4 linked regions of the Arabidopsis thaliana genome follow. The protein of the gene in region 3 interacts with the protein of the main gene of each other region in a pairwise test. Each region holds a gene or a part of one and is shown on either strand. Other genes may lie near its edges. The genes, in order: AT1G49850, RECA3, AT1G05410 and AT2G32650.

Region 1 (4,019 bases), about 17 Mb from region 3:
CGCCTTCAATATTATTGAGTAAGGTGATGGGATTTATTTGCAGCAAGAGAAGGAGAATTGCTGCTTAAATGTTGAATTTGTCTCATATTTTTCTAGCAAGTCAAAATTTCAATCTATGGAAAGTTAATTGTTAGCAAGTGAAGCTCTCTTATCTTCTTCAGCTTTCGTTGATTTTAAACTGAACTAAACCGTTTTAAGTTGGTTGAATTTGAATCATATAGGTTTTAATGTTGTCGAAGACATGAAATTGATGTGATAGAAAAAGAAAGGCAGGACATTCTTAATGTATGTATTGTTAATTTTAGTGGTTAGAGAGTGAGGTGTGTTAGGTACCCAATAGAGAAAGTGATGGTTAGGAGCAAATAAATGGGATTTTATGAAAGGAATTGAAGATGATGATCATGAATTTATGAAGAAAGGGGTCCATTTTGATATGCTTTTGTAGCAAAAAATAGCTTTTTGTGCACAACTGTCTTCTCCTTTTAGCCTTAACTTTGTTTTAAAGTTCTCTTTTTTTTGGCATAACTTTCTTTTAAAGTTGTTATAAATTGATTGAATCTTTTGATATTAGACTTCAATATATGTAACGTACATGGATGTATGATAATGACAACGTTTTGGAAGAGGAAGCAAAGCTTTAAAGTAGTATCACCAGATTGAGACAATCAAAATTTCTGAAAATGAAAACGTTAAGTTGTTGAGCTATAACCTCAAAGCATAACCAAATTGTCGGATCAAGATTTGGATTTGGAAAAAGTCTCTTTCATATAACCAACAAGACATTAAAAGAGAGATCACAGTGAATAAAACTAAAAAGATTCACACCATACGATATCAACGCTTGAACTGCCTAATGGCACAACAAAAACCATTACAAACATGTGACAGTAAAAAAAACACTCATGGGCGACAAAACTCAGAAGATCGTTTTAAGGATGTCTATAGCAAGAAGAAGAGAAGATGTGTATGGCTATGGCCTAATGGTTAGGCAAAGATTCTATTTACAAGTTTCTATTCCTTTGCTATGGCTCTACGGCAACAAGGACAATCTCCACAAGCTCTAAGCCAAGGGTTTAAGCAAGAAGAATGGAAACTATGGGTACAGGGTAAGGATATTAGCATGTCACCTTTAGTGAAACTCTCTAAACATATGCTACAATCTCTCATCTCGGATTTAACCTCGGCTGAGCTAAAAGTTTGCCGGTGTAAACAGTTAATAGCATCTTGAGTAAGACCTTGTGGTTTCTTGTTGCATTCATAGGTCACTTGAAGCCCTGCTAGTTGAAAAATTGGATCTCCATCTATAGAATGAAATGAAGACTCCCTTTGATCATCCAATGAAACTCTGTTGCTTCGACTGAATCAGAAAAACAAAGTTGAAACAAATCCGTAACCAAATTTTGAAAAAGAGGCTTCAAAGAAGATATTAAAGAATACACAAAGCAACAATAATCCACAAAAACTGATTTTTACACTAAGTCTTGACCAATCCTCACAAGAAACAAGAGCAAAATCAAAACATGCTTCAAAGAATCTTGATCAGACAAAAGCAATTATTTTTAAAGAAATCTAAAATCAGACTAGAGTGCAGATCAAGTAAAGCTGTAAAATTTATCAGTGGGTTAAGCACAGACCTGTTACTAGACAAAGAAACACCTCTCAATCTTTCGAAAAGTCTATCCCTTGCAAGCAGAACAGCTCCAGGAAGCCTCTCGGATCCATTTAGGTTAACAAAGCTGCTACTCTGAGTTTCAGTATCAGTACTATCCGTATTTAAATACTGACTAGTGCCTTGAACATCACGAATAGGTCTACTACGTTCCTGAATCTGTAAATTAGGGGAGATTTTAGTAAAAAGGACCAAATTCAGACAACTACTGAAATTAGTAATTACTAATTTGGTGGAAAGTAACTAACCGGATGGTGAAAGAAGCGTCGGAGACGGGGAGTGGGTCGCCGGAGAGGATCACAGCCGTCGGAATCATGACGCTGATTATGATGATGGACGCCGTGACGGCGATGATGATGGTGTGAGTGGTGTCGATAGGAAGAAGTGTCGGATTCTAAAGCCGGGTCGGATCGACCCGGACGTGATCTTCGTGTAGAGAAGAGTTCCGATGCGCTCGTCATGCACCGATCAATCACCAAATTCGTTTATATGATCTGAAACTAAGTGCAGCGAGTCAGAGACGATGAGATAAGGAGGACAGAGAGAGAGAAGAGAGAAAATTGCGAGGAAAAAGTAAAGGGAAACTGCAGTGAAAAGGTGACGTCATCTCCCACTTGCTGTCGGAGCTAAGACAAAACATCTTTAAAAACGGTGTCGCTGTAATAAAAAACTAAGGGGAAAAGCCCAATTATTGGGCCTATCCAAGTAAAGTCCACTAATACATAGGTCCCAAGAAAACGGGGAGAGCATTATGAAACACTAAACTGAATAAATGGAGAAATTGACGGAAAAAAAGGGAAAAAATGTTGTTTAATATACCAACTTTCAAAAAGTGGCCATTTAAACTATGAACTCCATATATGGCCAAATAAAACTTAGTAAAAGCGTTGATCGGCCATTTTATATATTCCAAAACATTGATCCGGCCAAAAACCCTGCGACGTTAGCAGTCGTTAATAGAGTCGATAATAGGCGTTAGCAGACGTTAATTAATCCGTTTAAACACAAACGACGTCGTTTTGTGTTTAATCGAAACCAACAAAATTCCCAATTCGATTCTCAATCCCTAAAATCCCCAATTCCAATTCTCATGCCCTAAAATTCCCAAATTCAAAAATCTTCAAAAGCCTCTCCATTTTTGTTCGTTTGAAGATTTTTGTGTTTAAACGGATTAATTAACGCCTGCTAACGCCTGTTATCGACTCTGTTAACGACTGCTAACGTCGCAGGATTTTTGGCCTGGTCAACGTTTTGAGATGTATAAAATGGTCGGTCAACGCTTTTACTAAGTTTTATTTGGCCATATATGGAGTTCATGGTTTAAATGGCCACTTTTTGAAAGTTGGTGTATTAAACAACATTTTTCCCGAAAAAAAATGAATAAATGGAGAAACTATTGATTAGTTAGTTGCTTAACTCAAATCTAATTGTTAATGTACTAGTTGCAGTATACAAGTTGGTTCTAGATAAAATTTTCCTCTTTTAATTTTGTTTTTTTATTGCCACTTTGTTAATTAACTCATTTATTAGTTGTTATTTAGTTGCTTTCACCCTTTATCAAACGATTGGAGCATAGTTTCACATAAATTTCCGATTTGGTTAAACAAACTCTCCGATTTAGTTCATCGAATTCGCAGATGTGAGCACCGTCGGTGTAGATGATGATGATCACGGCGGATAAGAGACGAGCTTCTTTGGTTTTCTTCTACTTAATGATCTAGATGACGGTTGATGATGATCGATTCGTAATCATCATCGGATTTTACGAGAGAAAAGAGAAAAAAAATACACGGGAAAAAAAATTAATGTTCTTTCCTCACATTACCGAACCTATGAAACATGATAGGTATGGGCCTCTTTCCAAACAAAAAATGTTCTTAGCTAAAGTGAGTTCCATCCACTTCATCACATTTTTTCTTTAAATGTTGGCTTTTTTCTAAGGGCTTCAGACCACCGTTAACGATAGTTGTTTAATAGAATTCTTAACAATTAAAAAAATAAAAATAATTAAAAGTTAAAAAAAGAGAGAGAATGAGAAATTCCAAAAACTCTTAGCTAAGAGACGATATCACAAACCCAAAGACACGTTCATCTTTATTATTGGTCTATCTATATAAAATATTTAAAATATAACTGTAAAATTAAAATATTATTATTTTTATCCTTTTATAAATTTTCATAGCATACTGGCGTTGAGGATGGTCTCACCTCTCTAGAGCTCATCTAGAATCACCGTTGGAGGTTGTCTGAGTTTCCTAAGAAAGCGGGAGATCATTATAATTATGAAACACTAAAATTTTATAAATGGAGCAATTATTGATTAGTTAGTTTACTTAACTCAAATGTCAAA
Region 2 (4,628 bases), on a different chromosome or scaffold from region 3:
TGGCACATACCTAGTAAAGCATACAAGAAAGTAGCTCCAAGGTTATGGATAACAAAACCTTGCGTTGGATCAATCAACAAAGAGAAAGTTGTTGCTCAAGAAGCTGAAAATGGGATGATGAGAGTTCTTGAGAACAGATCCTCCGTTAAGGTACTAATTATTAAACACGAAATTGCTTAACACTTAGATACTGGTTTGATATAACTTTAATGAACTATATTTTTGTGTAAGTAGGCAGTGTTTGTAGGACACAACCATGGACTAGACTGGTGCTGTCCGTACAAAGATAAACTCTGGCTTTGCTTTGCGAGACACACAGGTTATGGTGGATATGGAAATTGGCCAAGGGGATCAAGGATTTTGGAGATTTCTGAAATGCCCTTTCGTATTAAGACCTGGATTAGGATGGAAGATGGATCTGTCCACAGTGAAGTTAACCTAACATATGATTAGTCTATTTATCACATATGTCAAACTTTGTAGAAGTAATAGTGCCTATAGTTGTTGGTAGGTTTGGTCACTGTAAACTTGTTAAGTGACAAGAAAAACTGCTTTCCATAAGCCAATAAATGAACTGATGATTGGTTCAAGACAAAAGGAAAGAATGCTTGATAAAACGGTTCAAACCCATTAAGGAAACCGGAATCTCTGCAGTATACATGATGGAGAATCTCTAACAAGAACAATGACTATGATGATATCATCTAATGACAACCAGCTTTTGCACATCTTCTCTGATCCTCCTTTTAGTTAGCATTCCCTAACTGCTTCTGTCCCTTCCACGTTGTTTAATAGGGACGTCAGGGTTGATGAAAAGCTCAATTGGTTTTTGGCTTTATCGAAACATACACATTTGTTTGGAGAACTCGAAATACATTCCCTCTGTCACATCTTGAAGAGCTGGTTCCTCAGGATTGCAACGACAGTATCGAGAGCCTCTTTATTTTCCACCAGATACTTCTCAGCTGCGTCTTTCCCTTCAATGACCTCGCCTTCAATGAAATAGCTAGTTCCTTCTCTTAAGATAACTCCATGCTCACAAGCCAATTCTAATACCTCTCGCTCCACGTAGAAACCATGACCAAAGTGAATCCCCAATTCAGATTTCTTCTTTCCGGGCGCCAGTTTATTCTTCACCACTTGGACGCAGACATTGAGACCACTTATCTGAGGAAACAAAGCAATCAAATGATAATAAAGATGTTACTGCCCTTCGCAGAAATTATGCATTATTTTAGAGATTAAGGCAAATCAAGCTTACAGTAACACGTACAATGGTAACAATGTGCCTAACTATACCTTATTGGCAGTCTTTATTAGCCCGGTTCTTATCATTTTGAGACGTATAGCTGCATGAAACGGTAATGCGTTTCCTCCACAAGTCACTTCTTCGGCGTGCGGGAAATGCATGTTAGATTTCACATGTGATCTGACCTGGATCAGGTAAATAAGCAGAGAGATATTATCTTTGGTAGGTGGGTCAATACGATCCAACTAAGTGAGCAAAAGAAAGTAAACCGTGATATTTCCTTTACCTGATTAAGAAAAACGATCAGTGTCTGAGAATAGCCAACTGAGTAATGGATTTTTCTGAGCGCCTGTGTCATTATTCTTGATTGTGTGTCTCTGTATCTTTCTCCTACAGGAGCATCAAGTTCACATTGAGGGGCAAGAGCAGCAACCTGTAGATTCCACTTTTAATATTAACAGATGCAGAAAGAATATATGAACATATTGAGATGAAAGAATGAGAACTCACACTGTCTACCACAATTACGTCTACTGACCCACTCTTGGTCAGCACATCAACAATATTTAGCATCTTTTCAGCAGAACTAGGTCGTGATATCAGAAGCTCTTCTGTGTTCACACCTATTGATTCTGCTAGAGAAGGATCCATGGCATTCTCTGCATCAAGATAAGCGCAATAACCTGGCACAAACAAGTCTTTTAGATAAATAAAAAGCTAATGGAGTGAAGAACAAAAGCAAGTCAGAATCAAACTGTAACTTCACAAAATCGAATCTTACTTATCGCACTAGAAACAAGAAAGGAAAAAGTAGAAGATATGTGTCCCCAACTTAGGATGGATTCTAGTAACAAGTCCCAAGGTTTCTGTTCAAACAAATGTATTGAGAATGGGATTCAAGAACAGTACCTCCAAGCTTTTGAGCTTCCTTGATGATATGCAGAGCTAGAGTTGTCTTTCCAGATGCTTCTTTTCCGTAAACCTCAACCATTCTTCCCTACACAAAAACCAACAAAGTTCTCTTGTAAACACACATTTAGAGACCTCATTAATTGCAATACCTTTAGCTTGGCTAGTCCTATCTGAGACTCTAAATTAACAACAACCTTTGGCAATCCTCCAACTCCAAGAGCTAGATCAAGGTTGAGGGAACCCGTGGATATCACAGAAACTCTCCTTTTTCTGTAAAACCGCTGCAATGACAACTTAGAGTCTTTATCAAAATCACCTGAAAGCTGTGACAATGCTAAATGTAGAGCAGTGTCTTTCTCCGCTACTTTTCTATCATCTGGAACTTCATCAAGTTCACAATCTGAAGCTTCAACTGACCAAACGAAACACACTCATAAAGACAGGATACAGAGTATGGAAATCAAAAGACAAAGGAAATTAGTGATTACCTAAAGACGAAAGATAACGATTTTCATAGCCAGAGCAAGCCAAAACGCTTCTTCTTCCATTCAGCTACAAAGCAAGATAAGAGTAAACACAAGAGACATTTGTTTAGTCAGGAGCTTGGGCAAATCATCAATGCTACTCTAAAGGAGATAACTTTATTTTGGTTGGAGTGTTGTCCTAATTTCTTCATCTGAAAAATAAAATCTTTCTTTCTTATACTCAAGCTAAGAATTGTTGAGAAACATTAGAGACGAAGAGAACCTGAGATAAGTAAGAGAAGAAACGGAATCTCTGAATCGGACTGGCCCATGAGAGTCGACCCATGCCCCGTTCTTCTTCAAGCGGCTCCTCCTTCGCTGTTCAGTTTCAATTCCACAGTTGTGTCTTCTCCTTTTCTACTAACGATCTCCAGTTTCCGCCATGGTCATTGTCCTTAAGAGGTAAGACCTGAACCAGAAGTGGATACATAAAAATCGAAAACCGTATTAAACCGATCGGTTCATGGCTAATGGAATCTAATTTAACGGTTTGATATGAGGACCGGAAAAGAGGTAACAATTTAAGGGAGGTGTAACTTTAGTCTTTTTTTTTTTTTTTTTTTTTTTTTTTTTGTGTGTAACTTTAGTCTTATCCCGAACATTTTGCTCAAATAAGATTTTATTTTTCTATATAATAATAAATCTGAGAAGATAAATCCCTAAATTAAGATTGTTCATGCGTGGAGCATAACCTAAAGGTCTAAGAATGTGGAGTGCAAATTCAATAATGAAATTGTTGGTTCTCTTGCTTTTGGTGGACGCTTCATTAATATTGAATCGTATCCTAAGCATGAAAACATATCCAACACATAATTCCGAGGTTTTCCAAAGCAGACGCTTCATTACGTTTGACTTACGTACACTAACTGGTGATAACCAGCGAAGCGGTGTGGATCCTGCTTGCATACCAAAATCAAAATGTGATGATAGAGTGATGGAAATAGGTAATACTCCAGATTATCACAGTAGTAAGTTCATTGATTTGTTGGCACATCTTTAAACTTGTAAGCTTTTTATAATTACTTTATTTTGTAGGTATATGGAGGAGACCGCGTACTCTTTACAGACCTAAAAAGTTCGACCACGAGATTCATGACGAAGAAGAATTATGAAGTTGTTGGTGCTATTTTCTTAAATTTTTTGGCGATTGGTTTTGGTGTTAATTATCATCATTTTAATGTATTAGTTTGTTTTTATTTGCGGAATATCATATGATTAATTAGATGGCCCGAAACGTCTGGTACGTAAGAGTAAGAAGATATGAAAGCTAGGTGGAGTCTTGTGCTATTGACAAGTTCTCGACCCTTGTAAAGTTGTGCTCCTCCTTCATAATGCCGTAGAGACTAACACACAAACTGCTATTTGGGAGATAAAAACGAAAAGAGGAAACAACAAGGCTAAGCGGTAATGTCCAATAGGATCCATTCAACTTCATTAATGTGAGATAATAATATTTTTTTAATTAAAAACTGTTACATTATTTAGTCGTATCCCGAATATTGTGTTCAATCTTACGAGGAAAACGTCGTTAACCCTAGTCCAAAGCGTTTACGAAAAATAAATGGGAGCTTCTTCTTCGCTTTATAAAAAGTACTAAATAAAGACTGAAAAGATATAGAAATCCCTAAATATTGATTGTTCCTGCGTCTCCGAGCATAATGTAGGTGTTTCTAACAATGTGGAGTGTATATGCATGCAACGGCGAAATTGCACTTCTCCTTGCTTTTTTGATGGATGCTTCACTGGGTCGACATTACGTTTTAAATGTATCGAAAGCCTAGCTAGTTACATAATCACACTCTTTGCAGTAATAAACCCAAAGTTTTTCCGACATATCTTCTTCACAAACATCACATATGAACTTTGCACCGGTGTGTTGTAGAGAAGAGTGAGTGGATGTTCGTCATCTTCCCGCTCCACAGTCTCAGGGGCCTTTGTGGACT
Region 3 (4,707 bases):
ATGTGAATTAGAAATTTCAATTAATTAAATACAATAAGAGGGTAATTTACGAGTTTTTGTCGTATATAGTATAAGGTAAAATGACTCAAAAAGCAAATCTTGATGGTAATCGAAACTTTAAACATGAAAAAGCGCCTACGCGTAAAGTATTTGTTTTTTTTCTTAGATTTGATAGAAGGGAAATAAGGTTATATACGGACATGCAAATATTTATATGTTTTCTCCATTATCAACATATACAAATTATATGAGTAAACTTCAACAATATAATCCAAAATTGTACTGTTTATCTTTATATTTTCACGCTTTTTTTTTCTTAATGTCATAGGCAAAAATTCTGCGGGGAGAGCAAAACCTTTATTGTTTAGTAAATAATTTTCTTCAATTCATTTACGAACTCTAGACATAATAAATAAATTAACGCCAAATAAGAGGAATTATTGTCCTTGCAAATATATACAGCAAGAACTCACGAGGAGGCAATGTTTGGACTAACCTAAACTGGCCATCTCATGACTCAAAGACGAAAGATCGATGTTTGTGCAAAGTACACTGACTCACTTCACTTCTCATTGATCAATCTTAACTAATATTTGTTCTCTTCCCTTTTTCAGTTTATCTTAGACCATTGTTTCTCCTAGCAACAAATTCACCGAATGATCATGTCGCGATTAGTTTTGGGATAAAATCATAAAATTGCTTCTCATCAAGAATTGCTCCGCAAAATCAATGTTCAAGCAGATTACTAGACCAAAATTTATGATCGAGTAGTCCGAATATAATCTTTTGCATTTAAAGCCTCTAAAATTTACAAATATCTAACCAATGTTACAACATGGCATGTACCTAGTACAAGCTACTAGGTTACAACTTCAGAGCGAAGAATTAAAAAATGAGAATCCTATATTAATGAATATTCTCGCTTGAGAAATCTATGCATGACAACTTTCTATCATCAACAATAATAATTAGATTTGATCAATCTCTGTCGACGAGAACCCGCCAAAAGTGGTGACTGAGAGACATGTCACACAACATCGCCCTATTTATACGTAGAAATATCGATCTATATATATATATATACTAGATCGACAATAATATGGTAAGTTTTTTTATTTTAAATATGGTAAGTAATAAATGCTTGTAATACGAAAGGCCTTTATGCTCTACTCATTGTTTGGTGTATAAAAAAAAAATGGAATCAAGGTGTCAGATATGATGGTACAGCAATTTTTAGCCCCACACGTTGTCATTTTTCTTTGGAAGGTACATTGAGATCAATTTCTATTTTTGTATTATTTTGAAATCATCATATAGTTTCATTGGATTTATCACAAGAGGAATCTTATAAAAATGCGAATGGGTATATCTATCTCTCTTTCAATATCTATGTCACACAAGTGTTGTTGCTATATTGTAGGGACATGTCAAAACTTGTCGACAAAAGCTCCATGAATGGGAAACATTGACATCAAGATACAAAATCACATGATTCTTCAACTTGTGAAAGTTTTCGAGTGTGAACATCAGACTCACATAAAACTCCATTGTAGATATCTCTTGTCATAAGACACTGTCACATTCAATATCGTTTTCAAACTCTCCAAAATACTGCCTGATTGCAATGTTACAATTTTGTCATGGACCCACCAATCCCTGTGAACCAAGCCGGTTACTGTTTATTACTCCGACCCGACCCGGGCTTTTTAAAGATAGGCCCAAGAAGGCCCAATGATTGAAATGTGAAATGTTTGATACATTGATGTTTTTGATCTTCGCTCAAACCCTACAATAAAACTTTGGTTCCTCCGAATTTCGAGTTCTTGTTCTTCCCAAGGCCCCTACTTCGGCCCTAGCATCAACCATTGTCGTTTTAAAGCTCCAGGTTTTCATGGCCAAGAAAGAAGTAACTATCGTTGAGATCTTCTGAAATTAATCAGTCTTGAAGTCTCTGGAGATTGTACGTTTCTCTTCTTCCTTTCCTCGTCGGTTTTAATGGATTCCGTTTGCCTGATTTGCAGTTTCTGCTTCACCGTGAAATCGAAACTCGTTTTGCTCTTAAACAAATATTATGCATGCGTTTCAATTTGGGTCTTTTTCTTGACAATATTGGTTCTGTTTGGATTAAGAAATTGAAAATTAGTTTTGTAGCTGAGCCTTTTCTCTTGTGTGTATAGGAACTGAGCTATATCAGTAGTGTATCTAGCATATTTGATTAATGTTCCTTCATGTTGTTCTTATTGAAGCTGCTTCCATTGGTTTTGTGATTGAGTGCAGGTCTTATAACATGGACTCCATGGATATTGATCAAAGTAACATAGGTGAATCGCCTCACCTTCTGCTGAGACCAGTAAGTCCATTGGAATCTGGTGAAGGTTTACCTTATGCTCCTGAGAATTGGCCTAATCCTGGAGATACTTGGCATTGGAAGGTTGGACCGAGAATTAGCGGTAAAGGCTACTTCGTGGATAGATACTTATATCCTCCTAAGTATCTTCCCGGTTTAGATACTGAAATATTGCGGAAAAATAAGGTGTTTAGGAGCAGGCTCTCGCTCCAACGATATATTCGTGTACACTTCCCTGAAGCGGATGTTCAAAAGTTCTTTGCTTCTTTCAGCTGGAGCATACCCTGCAGAGATGGTCAAGGTTCAATTTACTCTATATGATGCTTTACTCAAATATATACAATTCCAGTAGACTTACTATGTTTTTCCTTATGCTTCTCTCATCGCATGTTTCTGTTAGTTCTTCTTAACCATATGAATTACGTTTCAACATTCTGAACAAGTTACTGATTTCTTGGCATGGTGATTTGTTCTCTGTTTGACAGGTGTTTTGCCTCAGAAGCAGGTTCAGTTACCAGTGTATAGCTCAGATGAAGATCCAATGCGTGATGATGGATCTGATACTGCGGTCTGTAAGGCTGGTAATGAAAAATGCCGGAGCCTGATGCCACAGTGCGAAGCCGAGACTTTACCTGCTATGCCTTGTGACATTTGCTGCGGTGAACGTAAGTTCTGCGTTGATTGCTGTTGCATCCTTTGCTGCAAGTTAATAAGTTTGGAGCATGGAGGCTATAGCTATATCAAATGTGAAGCTGTGGTTTCCGAGGGTCACATATGTGGACATGTTGCTCATATGAACTGTGCTCTTCGAGCTTATCTGGCTGGAACCATTGGAGGCAGCATGGGATTGGATACTGAATACTACTGCAGGCGATGTGACGCCAAAAAGGACTTGTTTCCACATGTCAACAAGTTTCTAGAAATATGTCAGACTGTAGAATATCAAGGCGACGTGGAGAAGATCCTGAATCTCGGTATTTGTATCTTGCGGGGAGCACAAAGAGACAATGCTAAGGAGCTATTAAATTGTATCGAATCAACAGTCATCAAGGTATAATATACTTTGTAAAATGTAATGTTTACTGGACGTTCCTGAAACTAAAGCCAACTCTTTTCAGCTTAAATGTGGCACGAGCTTGGAAGATCTCTGGAATGATGATACACCAACTATATGGTCAGGTACATATCCCTTAATCACGATCCTTTGCTTTGACTTGAATATGTATTGAAGTTGATTTATTGTTCATTATAACAGATTATCTTCATTCTGGTTGTAGATTACTCCGACAGTGGAGAAGCTAGAGAAAATGATACATTGCAAAGTTTACAGGACGTGACTCCAATTGGGCCCATACCATTCAACCATGAGGCTGAGATGCACAAACTCGAAGAAGAAATCGGCGAGGTTCTAAGAGCGCTGAGAAAGGCTCAGGAATTTGAGTACCAAATTGCAGAAGGCAAACTTCATGCTCAGAAAGAATGTCTGAGTGATCTGTATAGGCAGCTCGAGAAGGAGAAGTCAGAGCTGTCGAGGCGAGTATCAGGTACAGATGCGAATAGCTTGATGACGAATGTGCTGAAGAGATTGGATCAGATTAGAAAAGAAGTCACAAAGCTTAAAGAAATGGAAGAAGTAGCCAAGGGATTTGGTAGGACACCTAGAGGGGTTCTTGAAGAGTACTTTCATCTAAACATCGAGGACTAAGATTTATATAAGCACATCCATAATTGTACATTCGTTATGACGTTTGTTTTGTAAGTTTTTGATTCTTCCTCGTAAATCTGAGTTTTGGATGGTCATTTGTTTATTCATTAATCAATTTACGAGTAACAAATGCACAAAAGGTACAATGAAAAGGTCTTCTCCTTCATAAATTGAGATTTAAAATGACAATTATGGAATTAAAAACTTGGAGCCATCAATTAGCTAAATGGCCTTAAAGAGATACAAAAACATAATATGATCAACTTTGGTTGCCACCCCTAGTAGCATTCTCCGGACAAGAATCAAGAGGAGGCTCACCTTTGGGGTTAGTAAAGCGTTGACGCTGCGAGGAAAAAGACAGACGGGGTCAAATTTAGGCAAAGAAAAGAACAACTGAGAAAGAGAGAATATAGTTAAACAAGTGGCAAGGATGCTTAAATTACCTTGAGTTCATGTTCTCGAGTAGAGAGATGCGTGATGAAATTATCAACGCCTTGGCCAGCAATACCTGGGCCACAAATACGACGGCACACAGAGCAAATCCAGGAGGCAGGTCCAGGCGTTTCACTGCAGCTATCCTCCTCCTCCTCAAGTGGCCCTGGATCAGCTAGAAGAAAGTTTTTCCAGAGGGTGGAGGAGGCTTCTCGAGGAGACT
Region 4 (3,300 bases), on a different chromosome or scaffold from region 3:
GACGGGAAGATAATGTGTCACCTTTAGAAAGTTGCATAACCTGTCAATCAAAATGTTCAAACAATTCATATCAATAAGCTGAATACTCTTCTTAGGTACAATGTTTTTGGAGAAAACGCCAGATAACTCACAGCTAAATCATTGTAGATGACGATGCTCGAGAGGCTGGAGTCTTCTAAAATGACTCCACCAAGAGAAATGAAACGTTGTTTTACAGTTTCCACAAGTTTGGCTGGGCTGTTTTAACATACAAAACGAAAAAACAAACAAATCATCACTTTCAGAAAGTAGCAGAACACAAGGGGATTATTCTTTTCCTATGTATTAGAGAATAAGAGAAGACAGGACTCACGAAACGCCGAGGTTAAGAATATCTTCAACCCATATATCACCAAGATTCTCAAATCCACATCTGTTCTGCATTTGTTCAAGATAACCTTAAGCTACATGACTTTTATAAAGCATCAAGATATTGCTTACTGAAGAGAAGCTTTACCGGATTGAACTTTGCAGCAATTACTTCTTCGATCTCATCTTCGGTTAAAACTCTGACTTCAGTCAGTTCTTTCATCTCTTTTCTTGAGATATTCCATTCTTGATCTCTCTAAATCACCACAAAACCAAAAAGCTTTAACAATAGCTTCTCCAACCAGACCTCAACCACAGCATTAACTAGAAGCTTTACCCCTTTGATTGCATTTCTCTCCACCACAGCGACTCTTAAACCCTTGGCACATAGAGCCGTGGCTAGAAAAATCCCCAAAGTACCCCCACAAACCACTATGTCAAAGGTTCCAACGAGATTATTCCCCATACTATAATCTTGAGAAAAACCAGATACCCTAGAAACAATTTGCTGAGTTTCTTGTGGTCCTGCAAAGACTAACATTCATCACCAAGAGAAGCATATTTCTTAATTATCTGAATGGTTACCAAAAGACTATTGTTCTTATTACCTGTTGGTTGAGTACATATGTTGGACCAAATATTGTCAAGTCTCTTCAAGGCATTATAAGAGTAAGCACCACCAGCACCTCCAGCTTCTCCACCAACTGAAATACTCTCCATTATCTTCTGCATATCGAAATGATTGAACTCATACTCAGCTAAAAACAACTCATCGTGAAGTTAAACATGCTTATGCAATCTCGCTTAAAGGCTCTCAAGATTCAAATACTAAAACAACTAAGAAAGAACAAAAGCGATGAAAATTTCTTTTCCTGTGCAATGAAAATCAATTATCAGTTATCAAGAGCAAACTTTCATCACAATGCAGACCACAAAATCATCTCTAATCCTGATAAAGTTCACAACTTTTTCTCATTTCCCCCCAGAGGATGCGTAATTGAGCAGAAAGCTTGACCTGTGTAAGAGAGGGAGCCAATTGTGTTTGAACGCACACTGTCGTCGAAGCTCTCCTTCTTCCTTGGTTTGTCTGAGCCCTTGATACGGAACTAACGAACCCATTGAACTGATGAATTTGCAGAACCACCATGACAATGAGTTCCAAAACAAATGCTATAAAACCAAGAGCGAACTTTTGATAAACAGAGATAAAACTTGTGAAGAGAAAACTGGAAAGATTGTGCAATGTGTCAGAGAATGTGACACGTTTACAGTCTTACAAAACAAAAACATTTTGGGTTACATTAACTCAAAACAAACTTCTGTTCTAAAATTAAAACAAATCTAAATGTTAGTATCGTTTCTGTAATATTTATTATATCCTCTTCTTCTTTTTTACTGATTCATCAAATCGGGGATCGGATAAGCCTGACTGCTTCAGGGTTTAAGGGTTACTCTCACTCACACTTCCGCTGGTAAGAAATTCGATTTCGATGCGTATAATCTGTCTTCCGCTTTTTTTTTTGGTTTTGAAATCGACAACCTTTTTTTGCGGACTTGTTGGGTTAAATTCGTATATCTTCAATTTTGCGATGAGTTTTCACTTTTCCAATCGAAATAGCAAATGGGCATTAGCTAATTTCCTGAATTGTGAGTTTTTGTGTTACGCTGTGTCATTGATTCATATAAGCTATTGCAAAGAGAGTAAATGATAAAGCCTTCAGCTTTACAATATAATTCACTTTTACACACTAGAGTTTAGAAATTCACCTTCTTTCTCTGTTTCAGGAGTTACAAGACTTTAACACATCACAAAGAATTTCGATATGTGTTATTTAAAGTTCATTGTGGATCTCAGGTTTCACAAGATTGGATAGAAGCAGCCATGGCAAGTCTGATAATGACTACACCATTCCCAGGTTCTGTCACTGCATGTAAGAAGACAAATAACCTGTCTGTTCAGAGAGCCTTTAAGGTGACTTGTATGCAGACAGAGAAACCATTAGAGGAGCTATACAATGTTAAAGTGGAACGGAAAGTTTCACAGAAACGGTTGGAGGAACTCGGGGTTTCGAGATGGTCAGTTTGGAAGACAGGGAAATGCAAATTGCCATGGGATTGGCAGGTGGATCAGTTGGTTTACATTGAACAAGGAGAGGTTCGAGTAGTTCCCGAAGGAAGCAAGAGGTATATGCAGTTTTTAGCTGGAGATCTTGTTCGGTATCCGAAATGGTTGGAAGCTGATCTTTTCTTTAACGCTCCTTATATTGAGCGGTATTGTTTCAAGGCCTATGGTGATGATTGATCCAACTTAGACTTTTGAGTTTTTAGTAGAGCCAAGAAACTTTACACTTGTTGTGTGTTGTTGTAGCCTGATGGATCTTTTTGTGATAATATAAGAAAACAAGTTCTCTCTCCTTTGTTCTGCATTTTCAATGCTAATCATAAGTAAACATAGGCAGCATCAGAGAGAGATAAAAAAAAATCAAACATAAAGAAAGAAACTCAAATCAAAACATCATATTTGGACAAAACCCCACTATTTCATCAACTGAACAAAAAAAAGAAAGAAAACCAAGCCAGATTTGCCTGAAAACTAAATCCGTTTTACTTGTGGCTTAAGCAATAAGCAGAGTTATGATTAGGAAGAACTAGAGCTGCTCTCTCCTGAACAGCCTTGGCCAGAGTGGCTAGAATCTACTGCCGAAGGAATGGGTAACGGTACCTGACCAGATTCACCTCAAGTAGAAGCACCATCGCCGCCACTGCCAGATTCTCCTGAAGTAGAGCCGTTGCTGGAATTTTTGGGGTGAGAGCAAAACAGAGTTTGCCTGTTCCAGATCGGAAAGACCAGAGAGGAAAGACGTCTTTTTCCTTAAACGAATTCGACTTGTTAGCATCAAGCACATCGTTCCAACCTTTAACAAAGACATAATTCCAGTTTCCCTTCATCTT

Evidence for each region.
Region 1: the proteins of AT1G05410 (region 3) and AT1G49850 interact in a two-hybrid assay, tested with the Arabidopsis thaliana proteins (one large-scale study listed by BioGRID).
Region 2: the proteins of AT1G05410 (region 3) and RECA3 interact in a two-hybrid assay, tested with the Arabidopsis thaliana proteins (one large-scale study listed by BioGRID).
Region 4: the proteins of AT1G05410 (region 3) and AT2G32650 interact in a two-hybrid assay, tested with the Arabidopsis thaliana proteins (one large-scale study listed by BioGRID).

What each region holds. Positions count from the first base shown.
Region 1 is NC_003070.9:18,454,315-18,458,333, forward strand, and holds AT1G49850 (RING/U-box superfamily protein), read right to left. Parts: upstream 2,306-4,019; 5' UTR 2,131-2,305; coding exon 1,918-2,130; intron 1,829-1,917; coding exon 1,635-1,828; intron 1,358-1,634; coding exon 1,012-1,357; 3' UTR 530-1,011; downstream 1-529. UniProt on the Arabidopsis thaliana protein: Probable E3 ubiquitin-protein ligase that may possess E3 ubiquitin ligase activity in vitro.
Region 2 is NC_003074.8:3,133,327-3,137,954, reverse strand, and holds RECA3 (RECA homolog 3), read right to left. Parts: upstream 3,083-4,628; 5' UTR 2,972-3,082; coding exon 2,909-2,971; intron 2,714-2,908; coding exon 2,650-2,713; intron 2,574-2,649; coding exon 2,356-2,573; intron 2,247-2,355; coding exon 2,159-2,246; intron 1,933-2,158; coding exon 1,760-1,932; intron 1,683-1,759; coding exon 1,536-1,682; intron 1,435-1,535; coding exon 1,300-1,434; intron 1,168-1,299; coding exon 886-1,167; 3' UTR 538-885; downstream 1-537. Other genes in the region: PAP16 (purple acid phosphatase 16), read left to right, coding at 1-150, 235-453.
Region 3 is NC_003070.9:1,584,849-1,589,555, reverse strand, and holds AT1G05410 (CDPK adapter, putative (DUF1423)), read left to right. Parts: upstream 1-1,761; 5' UTR 1,762-1,960; intron 1,961-2,277; 5' UTR 2,278-2,287; coding exon 2,288-2,648; intron 2,649-2,832; coding exon 2,833-3,398; intron 3,399-3,465; coding exon 3,466-3,526; intron 3,527-3,624; coding exon 3,625-4,052; 3' UTR 4,053-4,185; downstream 4,186-4,707. Other genes in the region: AT1G05400 (uncharacterized protein), read right to left, coding at 4,312-4,395, 4,496-4,707.
Region 4 is NC_003071.7:13,849,317-13,852,616, forward strand, and holds AT2G32650 (RmlC-like cupins superfamily protein), read left to right. Parts: upstream 1-1,672; 5' UTR 1,673-1,820; exon of another isoform or gene 1,821-2,055; intron 2,056-2,203; 5' UTR 2,204-2,230; coding exon 2,231-2,650; 3' UTR 2,651-2,672; downstream 2,673-3,300. Other genes in the region: AT2G32640 (Lycopene beta/epsilon cyclase protein), read right to left, coding at 1-40, 132-237, 353-417, 497-604, 686-873, 957-1,074, 1,364-1,495; AT2G32645 (B3 domain protein, putative (DUF313)), read right to left, coding at 2,673-2,769, 3,071-3,300.